Kluyveromyces lactis: one gene and its partners. The main gene of each other region encodes a partner of the protein of the gene in region 2 in a complex. Links are inferred from orthologs where the notes say so. Each region holds a gene or a part of one and is shown on either strand. Other genes may lie near its edges.

Region 1 (4,170 bases), about 180 kb from region 2:
TTATTTATTCTACTTTCTATCAGTCGGGTCAATTATTGTACTCTTACTGTGATACACTTTTATTACGCCTCTTCATTAATTACGGTCTGAACCAGCCATTCCTTATTTTTGATCCTAAAATCATTTATACCCTCCATCAGGAACCTTTTAGAAATGCTATTTTCCCAGTCGGATGAGTTCTGCAAAGACGTCTCGTTGATGAAAAGTATCATCTTCTTACTGTGGTAATTATGCCGAAATTCTACAAGTTGGTCGAACAGATCATCGTCCAACTCTTGCTGTGGTTTCAACTTCAAGTTTTTCGTGTATTCCCAATGACCAACTTTAAACACCTGGAAAATGAAGTCCACGAAAAAATTCATATCGGAGTCTCCTAAAATCAATATCGAGTAATCTTCCAAAACTACTCTGGCATTGTTTAGTTGTGCATCTAAAGTCAAACTGCTATTGAAGTTTGTCAGGAAACTAAAAACATTGCTTGATTTGATAATACCTAGATTGAAGTCAGCCATCAACCTGTTACTTTCTCCGCTCGGCAAAAGATTTTGTAGTATCGTTTGAGTCGAGATATAACCTTTGTTTATGCATGACTCAATAAACCTCCAATGTAGTACAGGCCATCCCAAAGCCAATGCTTCTAAATACTTCGGACTTCTTGAAAAGTTTCCCGCAATAAGACAACCAAAACGGTAACTGTTAAAACGTGGATTGTTCCAACTAAACTCTCTTGATCTGTCTTCATATCTTAACAGACTTTCAAACCCTACGCTGGAGACATATCCTCCTTGTATCTCGATTAGATAAGATAACCTTTTTCTATCCATATCATTAAGTCCACTCAATACAAAGATGCACTTTTCGAAAACAGAACCTCCCTGTCCTTCTAATCCACTCATTATAGTAGTATCATAGAAAGTGTCTCTGAAAATCTCTGAAGTTGACTTGTTATAATCTTGAGCGGTTTTCTTCATAGGAGAAATAGAATCCCTCACTGATCGACTTCTAACAGAACGTCTCAATTCATCCAAAGGATCATTGTCTTCATCTTCCAGTTTTATTTTGGTTCGTTTGATCCACTCCCCGGTGGTAACGTATATGGATGCAATGGTATCTACAATATCATTCTTGCTGAGTCTTCCGTTTCTCAGTACCTTTCTTAAATGCACCGTATCATATCCTCTAATGCATCGAATGACATCTTCTTTTTGTGGGATCTGGCAATCTAAAGCTACGACTTGATATTCATTCATCTTCCAGTGGACTTTATCTCCACATCTAATATCTAAATAGTAAATGTCTTCCACCCTAACATCATTTTGACGTTTCTCGAAAAGAACGGAGCAATACCCAGGCTTCGTACGCTGTTCGGAAAGTATCTTACCAGGATAAAAATTGCAATCATTAAAATAATACCAGACCGCATTATTGAATAAAACATCTTTTTTAGTCAACTGCATTTCATCTGATATACGAAGTTCTTTCGGCAGGTAGACACCTTCAGTGAAAGCTGTAAATTGTGTCATTTTACTTGGTGTACTACTATCTTCAAATTCTTCTTCTAATATTAGCTGCTTGTTTTTCCGTTTCTTGGATACATTAAGTTGTTCTTGTGACTCAAATGACGGTTTGTGCTTGCACTCATTGCGTTCGAAAATTTCAGGTAGTTCCTGAGTTTGTTCATATTCCTGATCTGTATCCAGTCTCGAGAGCTCTCTTGAGACATCATTCGTAGGATTATGTTCATTGTGTTTACGTTGGTTCAAATCGGTAGCATCATTCCGGACACCCCCAATTTGTTCATCCTCGTCGGATATCTGACTGGATGGTTTGACATAATATGTGAGTTTAAACTTCATTTCACTCGAGTTTTCATCTGTTTGTTCCTTCTGAGAAGATTCATTGTTCATCTCAATAGACGAGTGACATTTGGCTACTTCCTGATCTTCTTTTTCTTCTTCTCTTTCTTCTTCACTAAATACTGTTGAAGGTGATTTATTGGAGGCCTGCTGCATGGGTCGGAGATTAACGACCGCTGGAGAATGAACCAACTGGATTTCTTCGTTGAAATTAGAACCTGTTTCCTTTTGTGTCAATATAGTTCTGGTAGAAGGAAGAAGACTGTGATGAAATGAGCCAAAATTGATTGGAGATGTATGCACTATTGATGTCTCTTGAAGTGCAGACTGTTCATCTAGTTTCAATAAGCTCTCTGAGACATCGAGGTTATTAGACTGAGTTCTAATTAGCTGAGTCATCTTTTCATCGGCCAATGTAGACCTGATTTCTTGTGTTTGACTTACATTAGCTGAATTCGTTGCAGGTACTAACATTTCATTAGATGTTTGAGTTACATTTTGAGTGTCAATATCACCCAAGATATTACCATTATCTGCATCCTTCAGTGTCATTATAAATGGTTGTGGATGCCCCTCTGGGGACGAGTTGATATTTTCAATCAAGCTGATCGGTTCTGAAGCTGCCTTCACTTCACCTTTAGCATTCCTAAGTGAGCGAATCGATATCTTATTCTTTAATGGCGTGTCTAATAATTCAGGTTGATATGTGTCATTGTTATTCAAAAGAATACCTTTAGTTTGAGTCAAATCAAACGGTAATTCCACTTCGATATTCAAGTCTTTCTCCTGAAATCGTTGCAATACATCAGTCTTTGATTGGATATCAATTCTTCGTCTAATCTCGAGATCTCGATTTCCCTCAGGTGTGTCTTCTAACAGGGATTTATTCGTTGGATTTAAATTGAGAGCAGTATTACCCAAAGCCTTTATAGCCTTGTTAATTCCCGTGAGCGTTCGGGTGCTTGTATTTTCTTTTAACACTATTTCATCTGAGGAAGTAGACTCTATCTTGTTCGATAGCTGTTTTCGATCTGGACTGTAATTGGGAGTCTCTTTGGTAATACCACTGTCTTCTTCGTCTCCTGTCATACCATATGAAACAGCAGATACTGATATTGATGGTTCAGAATGAAGTGATATTTTGGCTCCGTATTTTTATCGAATGTTTAATAACTTTTGTTAGTTGTGCGTTACATACTGTAAACTTTCTTGTTTTGGTTTATGATTTTCTGTCAATATTACATTTGTAGTTGTTAAAGACTAAGACATTAAAGAGTCAACTGTGCGATGTGTGAGTTTTATTATTATGTATCCATAGCCGGTCGCATCTCTTCAGGGTATTAGTATATGAGTTGCTAGTATAGCACTGGTTGCAGGTTTGCTATTCTAGGAATTGATTTTCGGTTCTTCTAAGGAAAAGTATGATATTTTCTATCGATGGGTGTCAGACACACATGAAGTGAACCTTTTAGAATGCATTTTTTGGTTGTTGGCACAAACGATATATACCAACACAAGAGGTGTAGCTTTTATGATCCTCGCCTTAAGCAAGCATAATTTTGCTTCTCGTGATTAGCACCCTTTAGTCGGCAACAATAACTGTGATATCATGACCGACAAAAATTCGAAATGTAATGGTAAGTGACATTATTAAATGAAAGCTAACAATGATAACGATTGAATGGTAAATACTAACTCTAATGTCATCTACTATTAGGTTCATATGTTGATGTTCTACTTTGTTTTGAGTCGTTATTGGAAAAATGTCTCAAGACGCTTGAAGCCAAGCAACTAATCAAAGATTCAACGGAAGTATGGGACGACTTTGTGGATATCATACTCTCGTTCATTCCCTTAAATCTTGTGAAAGAACGATTCCAAAATGGTAATATTAGCAAACAGCGTATCATTTCTATAATGCAGGGTATTCTTGATCACAATCCCGATATTGATTTTACAGTGGATGCAAATTATATGTCGGATAATCTATGTGCTAGATATGCAGATGATCATTTTGTTCTTAGATGGAAGACAAACATTATCATCAACTTCAGAATTATTCAAGCATTCTTCGAGCTTCTAGATGAAGAATATGGGACCGCTTTTTTCTCTTTCCGCTGGATTCTACAGTTCATTTCAGTCTCTAAAAATAAGCGTCACAGTGAGAAGCGATCAGACCTTTCCTCGTCTCGGATAACATGGATAATTCGACAAACTTCACTTTATCTGGCAAAATGTTTGAATTTAGATTTTAATCAAGGGAAAAGGGTAAAATACGTGTCCTTCAATTCGGTTAGGGTGAATCGTTTGGACA
Region 2 (4,130 bases):
GTATTGATTCGAAATTAACGACCGATGATGATGGAAAACACTGTTACTCAGTGATTATTGAAGATTTAAATGAAGAAATTTACTTATTAATCGGGGCAGTATACGTAATACGTTATAGTGTAATACGAGATCTCATGACTGAGGGACGAGTAGTTTTAATATAATGAAAATTCTGAACAGTATTACTGAACCTATGACTCTTCGAAAAATATAGGTTTGTAACGAATGTTTGCCAGCAATAATTTCTCAACAATGTTATTGCGAACACAGCATGTTTTCTACCTAGTGTTATTGACTGCTGGTCTATAGTGCTTTTGAACCAATTTGTATTAGTATTACATCAATTAACGTTGAAAAGTCTATCTAGCATACTCAAAGTGTACCTATTTTTCATATTTACTGTATGCAAAACCCATCCGGCAAGCATATGATCAGCTCAGAGAAATCCTTCAATATCTGGTTTCTGGGCTTGGGCAAGCTTAGCCCTTTTGGTTGTCTGCGGTTGAGATTGAGATAACGACACTGAATGTATTCTTTTCAATCCTGTAGTCGAGTTCATCTCAACGACAGAATCTAATTCCTCGATATTTTGCGAGTTGGCATCTATGTTACTGGAAGAGGACTGGTTTATATTAGATTTGGCATGTTGTGATGATCTAGACTTCATAAATTCCATAAACTTAGGGACTAAAGCTAACTCCTCCTGTGTCTGTTTATGTAGAAGTGTCTTGTTTGTTTTCTCATTGGTATCCAGCTTCCCCTCGTGGAACAAACCAGTGGTATCATTGAACTCAAGCTGGAAAGAAACAGTGACATCATTGATTTTATCCCATATAATTTGGATTTCATCGCCATCATGAAGTAAGATCTTTGTGCCCGGAGTGATTTTCTTTCCATTAACATAGCTTGAGTTAGTACCACTTTGGCAATACCATACATCATCAAGACCTTGAGCTGGAGATTCATAAATACTGTCACCGACAGCGTGTCTTTTCTTCAATATGAAGCAATGTATCCTAGATAAACGATTATCATCAATTTTACAGTTGCATTCGTCTGACCTACCGATGAAGAATGGATTTATCCCTTGTTTTACTTGGACCTTACCTGAAATAGATGAGCCAGGTAAGGAATGCAAAGTGAGAAATAGCCCCTCCCCATTGACCTTTGTAAGTGGTCTATTGATCTTTTTGTTCTTATTGTTTGAAAGTCCTTCTTCACCAGATTTATAATTAACATTAATAGCTTTACCAGTATTAGGATTTGAAAAGTTAAACTGCAAGTTTTGGGATTGTGCAATTTTAGATGGTGCAATTTGTGGTTTTTTGAATACAGGCTCTTTATTAGTTTCTGCAGCAGGCGCCGTTATTTCTTTCTTGATAATCTCTAACCTCTTTTTCGCAATGTATGATTCGTATTCAGCCTCATTCATACTGTCAACAAATTGTTGCTGGGACAAGGATTGTGAGATGGATATTTGTGACTGCATGCTATCAACGTATGCCATTTTCATCCATGGATGTTGCAGGGCCTTTCCTGCGTTCATTCTTTCTTTAGGGTCCACATTCAACAGGCAATCTATGAAGTTTCTTGCCTCTTCGGATATTCTATAATCCTTTAATGGTCCTTCATGATAAGAGCCCCGTTTTATTTGCTTGAACAATTCATTCTGAGACTGACCACTAAAAGGCAAGTGACCTGTAAGAATAACGTAAACTAGGCATCCAATTGACCACATATCAACAAGTGAGGAATACAGATCTCGATTAGTTTTATCTTCAGCATTTTTCCCGTCTATAACTTCAGGTGCAACATATGCTAGAGTACCACAAAAAGTGTTCAGGAATGTATTCTGATTTTGTACTTTTGCCAGGCCAAAATCGGTTATCTTTATAAGAACTGGATCGTCTTGCTCTATCATTATATTATCAGGTTTCAAGTCTCGATGGCTAATTCCTTGATCATGCATGTATTTTACTGCCTCTAAAACCTGTCGTGTTATCTCTCTGCCGGCATCCTCGCCTACAGTTCCATGGGCTGCTACGAAATCCATTAAATCGCCTCCGCTGACAAACTCCATCAACATGTAATAATTATCATTGTCTTCAAAAAAGTCCTTAAGTTTAACTATCCTGGGGTGATTTAATTTCTGCAATACATCTAGTTCCCTCTTCACTCCATCAAATTTATCCATTACTTTTCTCTTATGAATTATTTTGACCGCAAATGTTTTGCCTGTTGACCTTTCGACAGCTTTCTTCACAGTAGCGAAAGCACCTTGACCAACAATCGAATCTGATATCGAATAGTATTTGTGTATTCCTTTTAATTCTGTATGTCCCATTGATATCTGATATTTGCTCTTTGAAGATGAAGCAGGTGAAGTCACATCCTTCATCATATTGAGTTCTTTTAGTCTATTTTTGAAACTATCGTTGATGAAAATCACTAAACTAACGACATCGCTGGGAACGCCGACTCCAACACTTATTTCATCCCCTTGGGTCAAGATGTGATTCGTATCCTTTTGTATCCTCGCTCCATTTAACCATGTTCCATTGGTTGATGTATCCTTCAGCATTAAAGTTCCTTCTTCACCCAGCATTAGCATAAAGTGTCTGTTGGACAGTCTTGAAATATCCCCCAGATAATAATCACATCCTTGGTTTCTTCCAAAGGTCCATGTTTTTTTAATTGATGATTCCTTTTTGAATATACTTTCAGGTTGAACCTTCAAGTCCCGTAGACTTATTTGACCAGTTGTACATATTACTCTGCACACCACATCGTCGTCTATTTTCTCCTGAGAAAACTTATCTATTAGGTACTTCTGTGTAGCCTGAGTGGCTTGTTGTGTCGGTTGCGTTATATCATCCATGTCAATATCTTCGTTTGCACAGCAATGATCAGTTGATCTCTAAAGAGGCTGGGAAAGGTAACGGCAAACCTCAAAGGGACAACTTAATGCCTCAATATAGAACGATTTTCACAAGTGTGCTATTCTATAGTCGGTTGTGACTGTGTATACCCACTAAACTGCCAACACAAAGCTAATGAATAATGGAATAAATCGTTCTTTCATAATGTGTATGATCGCTTTTGCAATTCAAAGATCCAGATTATTTCAGAAAAATGTCAACCTTTAAATCGCGTAAATATTCGATGAACATTAAATATTACAATGACGCGTAAAAGTACATACATATATACAAAGCCAATGATCAAAGATGGATCAGTCTTTACTCGGCACTGCTACAACGTTGGAGTGGGAATTTGAGTAAATAGAACGGAATCATTGATAGAAGTTCTATTATGGCACATTGCGGCATCAGGTGATTGGTGCCGAATCTTCTTCAGAACTATGTGAAGCCGGTTTATACTGCAACAATCCATATGGCATCAATTAGTAAATACCATGGTTGAATAACTTGTATCAGCTGTTTCTTATTCTAACTCCAGTCATGCTACAAAGACTTTAAAATCTTTACTTATCAATAGATGGAAGTAAAGATTATAAATCGATATGGTTGCTATCAAGCATAACACTCCGAATTTTCAGAAATTCTTTGCATTTTGCTCATATAACGTTATTGTATTTGAACTGTTAGAGCCTTTTCTTGAAAAAACTAGGTTCTATTCATGTTTAAAACATTCGTTAAGACAATTCCCCATAACCGATTGAAGAAATGATATATATAAGTTTTCGTTTTATTAATACTGCAATAATGTCCTTCAACGAGATAGCTATGTAGTAAAATTATATATCAGCTTTGATCTACTGGTGAAGGTTCAAATCATACCGTCAACTTTAACCGTAATGTTACGGTAAATAACAAAATCGTAAATTATTAATCTCACATACCTCCATAACGTTATGTTAAGTTTCTTACCATTCTATCTGCTAATTAAATGACCTGTTCCCAGAATCAGGACTGGATAAAAAGTCTACTACATCCGTTAGTTTTTCCCAAGGAAACCCTTTAAATACAAGAGCCGGGCTCAGTAGTCTTTCGCGTCAGATTTTGAAGTCTATTTATATTTACTACTAGTTCATAAATTGGACATTGTATAGGAAAGATGCATTCCTCTACATAATATTTTTGTTAAATTAACTACCCATCATTACTTCC
Region 3 (2,948 bases), on a different chromosome or scaffold from region 2:
ACCATTTCATCCCCAAGGTATATTGTCTTCTCTTCTCTTCGCCAGGTTACAAGATGCCCCCCGTGGTTCTGCTAGGAGTCGTGGCTGCTATCGTGGCTAATGCCTTACAGGCATTAGGACTCGTTTTCCAACGGAAAGCTGAATGTATTGAAATGTTCCACTACAATAATTCGGAACTTCTTTCCCTTCATTCTGAACTGAAGGTACCACCTAGATCAATCGTTTATAGGAATAAGAGATGGCAATTGGGGTTTTCGCTTTTCCTTTTGGCTAATTTATTCGGTTGTGTCATTCAAATAGCTACTTTGCCCTTGATCGTATTGGCTCCCTTACAGGCATCTGGCCTGGTTTTCAACTCTTTATTTTCCCATATGCTTCTACGAGAACCGTTCCCCCTGATTCCCACTGGTTTTGTTTGTGCTGGTGGTACCATCATGGCTTCAATGTCATGTATGTTCATAAACACTCCTTTGACGCATACGTTTGAAGAGTTGTGCGAATTGGCTCAAAGTGAAAAATTTATTCGTTATTTTGTCGGTACCAACGCTTTAGCTATCATGTCTATTGTGGTGGGTGTTTTCGGTGTCGGGAAACGTGTCAAAGGGTTTTCGCTTGTATTTGCTAGTGGTATATGGTCAGCTCATGCTTTACTCATTGCCAAATGCGTGTCGAACGTTATCGTTACTGAATGGTCCATCTCTTTACATATGGTCTTGCTCGTTTTGGTATTGGTAACTTTCTCGTTGACTCAGTTGTATTTGTTGAACGCAGGGCTTTCTCATCTTTCTACATCGATCCTTTATCCGTTTGTGTTCTCCATCTATAATTTGACTACAATCTTGAACAGTACAATGTTCTATCACGATTCATTGGTACCGCATACAGCCGAGATTTTATACACAGGGCTTGTGTTCGGTTTCATAGTGCTAACCATCGGAGTGGTACGCATTTCTGCATCCATCTACTACTTTGAAGAATCTTTGGTTCACGATTCGAAGTTTCTCTCTGAATTGGATGGCTCTCATTCACCATCATCGTCTACTTCCTCTGCGGCCGTGCTATCGTATGGCTCGCTCAATAATGGAAGACCTTTGTCGCAAGAATTCGTACAAGAATCTAATACTTATACATCGTTGACGGTGTAACAAAAAAAAAAGAAGGGGAAATGGCCGTGCTGCGGCTTCCCCTCTACATTGCATCTTCCTTCACCTTGAACTTCAATTTTACATAAGGTATGTATATTCACTTCTATATCTCTTTTTTTTTTTTTGTTTCATTCAATAAAACTTTTGATCGTATTATTATCGAGCTACTGTTGTTAGAGTGTTATCAACCTACAGCAGCCCTTGTTGATTCAACGTTCTCTCCTACCGGTCTTTTTCTTTGTCTGATTGAAAACTTCACGCGACGCGCTTTCTTTTAAACTTTTCAACTATTCAATATAAAGATAGAAAAAAAGATTATACATCACATCACATAACCTTAACAAAAGCATTGCTCTAAGAACAAGCTTTGTTAATCCAGTGACTACGTATCAAGGCATCGGGAGAGTTACTGTAGGGATCATTATATTAGTTACAGCGGTTTTTCGGTCATGTCTATTGTATCACTTTTAGGAATCAAGGTATTGAACAATCCAGCCAAGTTCACAGACCCTTATGAATTTGAAATCACTTTTGAATGTCTTGAGCCATTAAAACACGATTTGGAATGGAAATTGACGTATGTTGGTTCTTCTAGATCACTTGACCATGATCAAGAATTGGATTCTATCCTGGTGGGTCCTATACCCGTTGGTATCAACAAGTTCAAATTCGTGGCAGATGCACCTTCACCAGATCTGATTCCTGCTAGTGAATTGGTCAGTGTTACTGTGATTTTACTATCGTGCTCTTATAATGGTAAAGAGTTTGTAAGGGTTGGGTACTACGTAAACAACGAATACGATTTGGAAGAATTGAGAGAGAACCCACCTCAGAAAGTGCCTATTGATCATGTGGTGAGAAATATCCTTGCTGAGAAACCAAGAGTTACTAGGTTTAATATCGTTTGGGATAATGAGGGTGAAGAAGAGTTCTATCCTCCGGAACAAGAAGAGCCTGAGGAAGAGGAAGAAGAGGAGGAGGATGAGGATGAGGATGAAGAGGCAGATGAGGACGCTGAAGAAGATCTTGCAGAAGAAGACGATGTAGATGATGGTGAAGGTGAGGAAACTGCTCCTGAAAAGAAGAAACTGAAAAGGGATCCAAAGAAATCTACTGCTTCTGACGTTAAGAACGACGAGGGTGAATCGCAAGCGGAATCTTTGGGACCTGAAGAAGACGAGGAAGACGAGGAAGAAGCGGAAGAGATAGACTTAGAAAAAGAAAGTGATAGTGAGAATGATGCAGATTTGCCTACGCCGCAGGATACTACCCAACACAAATAATAGTAACGGTTTCCACGTCCTGGCCTCCCGCGGCGGCCTCCCAAATTAACGCACTTTTATATACCTTTCATAAGTATCGTTTCAATCCCGTTTGTAACATTGCTGACCAACACAAACCGGTACTCTTCCTCACGTCGATGAAGCGTCCAAAAAATCAAGACTGCATCAACTACTAGCTTGGAGGGAAGGTCTTTATACGCTTCGAATGCAATGTTGTCGTTCAAGACAAAAAAGAAAATGGACGAGTCCGGAGTCGAACCGAAGACCTCTCCCATGCTAAGGGAGCGCGCTACCAACTACGCCACACGCCCGTAATTTCTGAAAAAGTACATTTTTCGTTCCCCATACCGAAAAGAGAAAATCCTACCGTTTTTATCGTCAATCCGGCTGGGAAAACAGTAAACCCTCCAAAAGTAGCAGTTGATAAGGTGGTATCTCTCTAAAATAGCAGTTTCACAGCAGTTCAATCCCTGTATATTTGGACTATGGATGGGTCCTTTAGCCAGCATTGTAGTCAAGG

Evidence for each region.
Region 1: the proteins of RAD53 (region 2) and RAD9 are in contact, whole or in part, in an NMR structure (PDB 1K2N), measured with the Saccharomyces cerevisiae proteins. The link is inferred for Kluyveromyces lactis from reciprocal best matches to the Saccharomyces cerevisiae genes RAD53 and RAD9. Residues at the interface, in NP_015172.1 of Saccharomyces cerevisiae: Arg605, Asn616, Arg617, Leu618, Ser619, Arg620, Thr654, Asn655, Ile681, Trp682, Asp683; in NP_010503.1 of Saccharomyces cerevisiae: Val600, Glu601, Leu602, Thr603, Gln604, Glu605, Leu606.
Region 3: the proteins of RAD53 (region 2) and ASF1 are in contact, whole or in part, in a crystal structure (PDB 2YGV), measured with the Saccharomyces cerevisiae proteins. The link is inferred for Kluyveromyces lactis from reciprocal best matches to the Saccharomyces cerevisiae genes RAD53 and ASF1. Residues at the interface, in NP_015172.1 of Saccharomyces cerevisiae: Val803, Lys804, Arg805, Ala806, Lys807, Leu808, Asp809, Gln810, Thr811, Glu816; in NP_012420.1 of Saccharomyces cerevisiae: Phe28, Asp37, Glu39, Asp58, Ser59, Ile60, Leu61, Val62, Gly63, Pro64, Val65, Pro66, Val67, Val69, Asn70, Lys71, Phe72, Val73, Ser75, Asp77.

The regions. Positions count from the first base shown.
Region 1 is NC_006042.1:1,205,624-1,209,793, forward strand, and holds RAD9 (chromatin-binding protein RAD9), read right to left. Parts: upstream 2,946-4,170; coding exon 63-2,945; downstream 1-62. Other genes in the region: ADY4 (Ady4p), read left to right, coding at 3,774-4,170. UniProt on the Saccharomyces cerevisiae protein: Essential for cell cycle arrest at the G2 stage following DNA damage by X-irradiation or inactivation of DNA ligase.
Region 2 is NC_006042.1:1,025,693-1,029,822, forward strand, and holds RAD53 (serine/threonine/tyrosine protein kinase RAD53), read right to left. Parts: upstream 2,879-4,130; coding exon 437-2,878; downstream 1-436. Other genes in the region: DNA replication protein SLD5, read left to right, coding at 1-164. UniProt on the Saccharomyces cerevisiae protein: Controls S-phase checkpoint as well as G1 and G2 DNA damage checkpoints. Phosphorylates proteins on serine, threonine, and tyrosine. Prevents entry into anaphase and mitotic exit after DNA damage via regulation of the Polo kinase CDC5.
Region 3 is NC_006041.1:1,330,575-1,333,522, reverse strand, and holds ASF1 (nucleosome assembly factor ASF1), read left to right. Parts: upstream 1-1,594; coding exon 1,595-2,428; downstream 2,429-2,948. Other genes in the region: KLLA0_E14917g (uncharacterized protein), read left to right, coding at 54-1,145. UniProt on the Saccharomyces cerevisiae protein: Histone chaperone that facilitates histone deposition and histone exchange and removal during nucleosome assembly and disassembly. Facilitates histone deposition through both replication-dependent and replication-independent chromatin assembly pathways.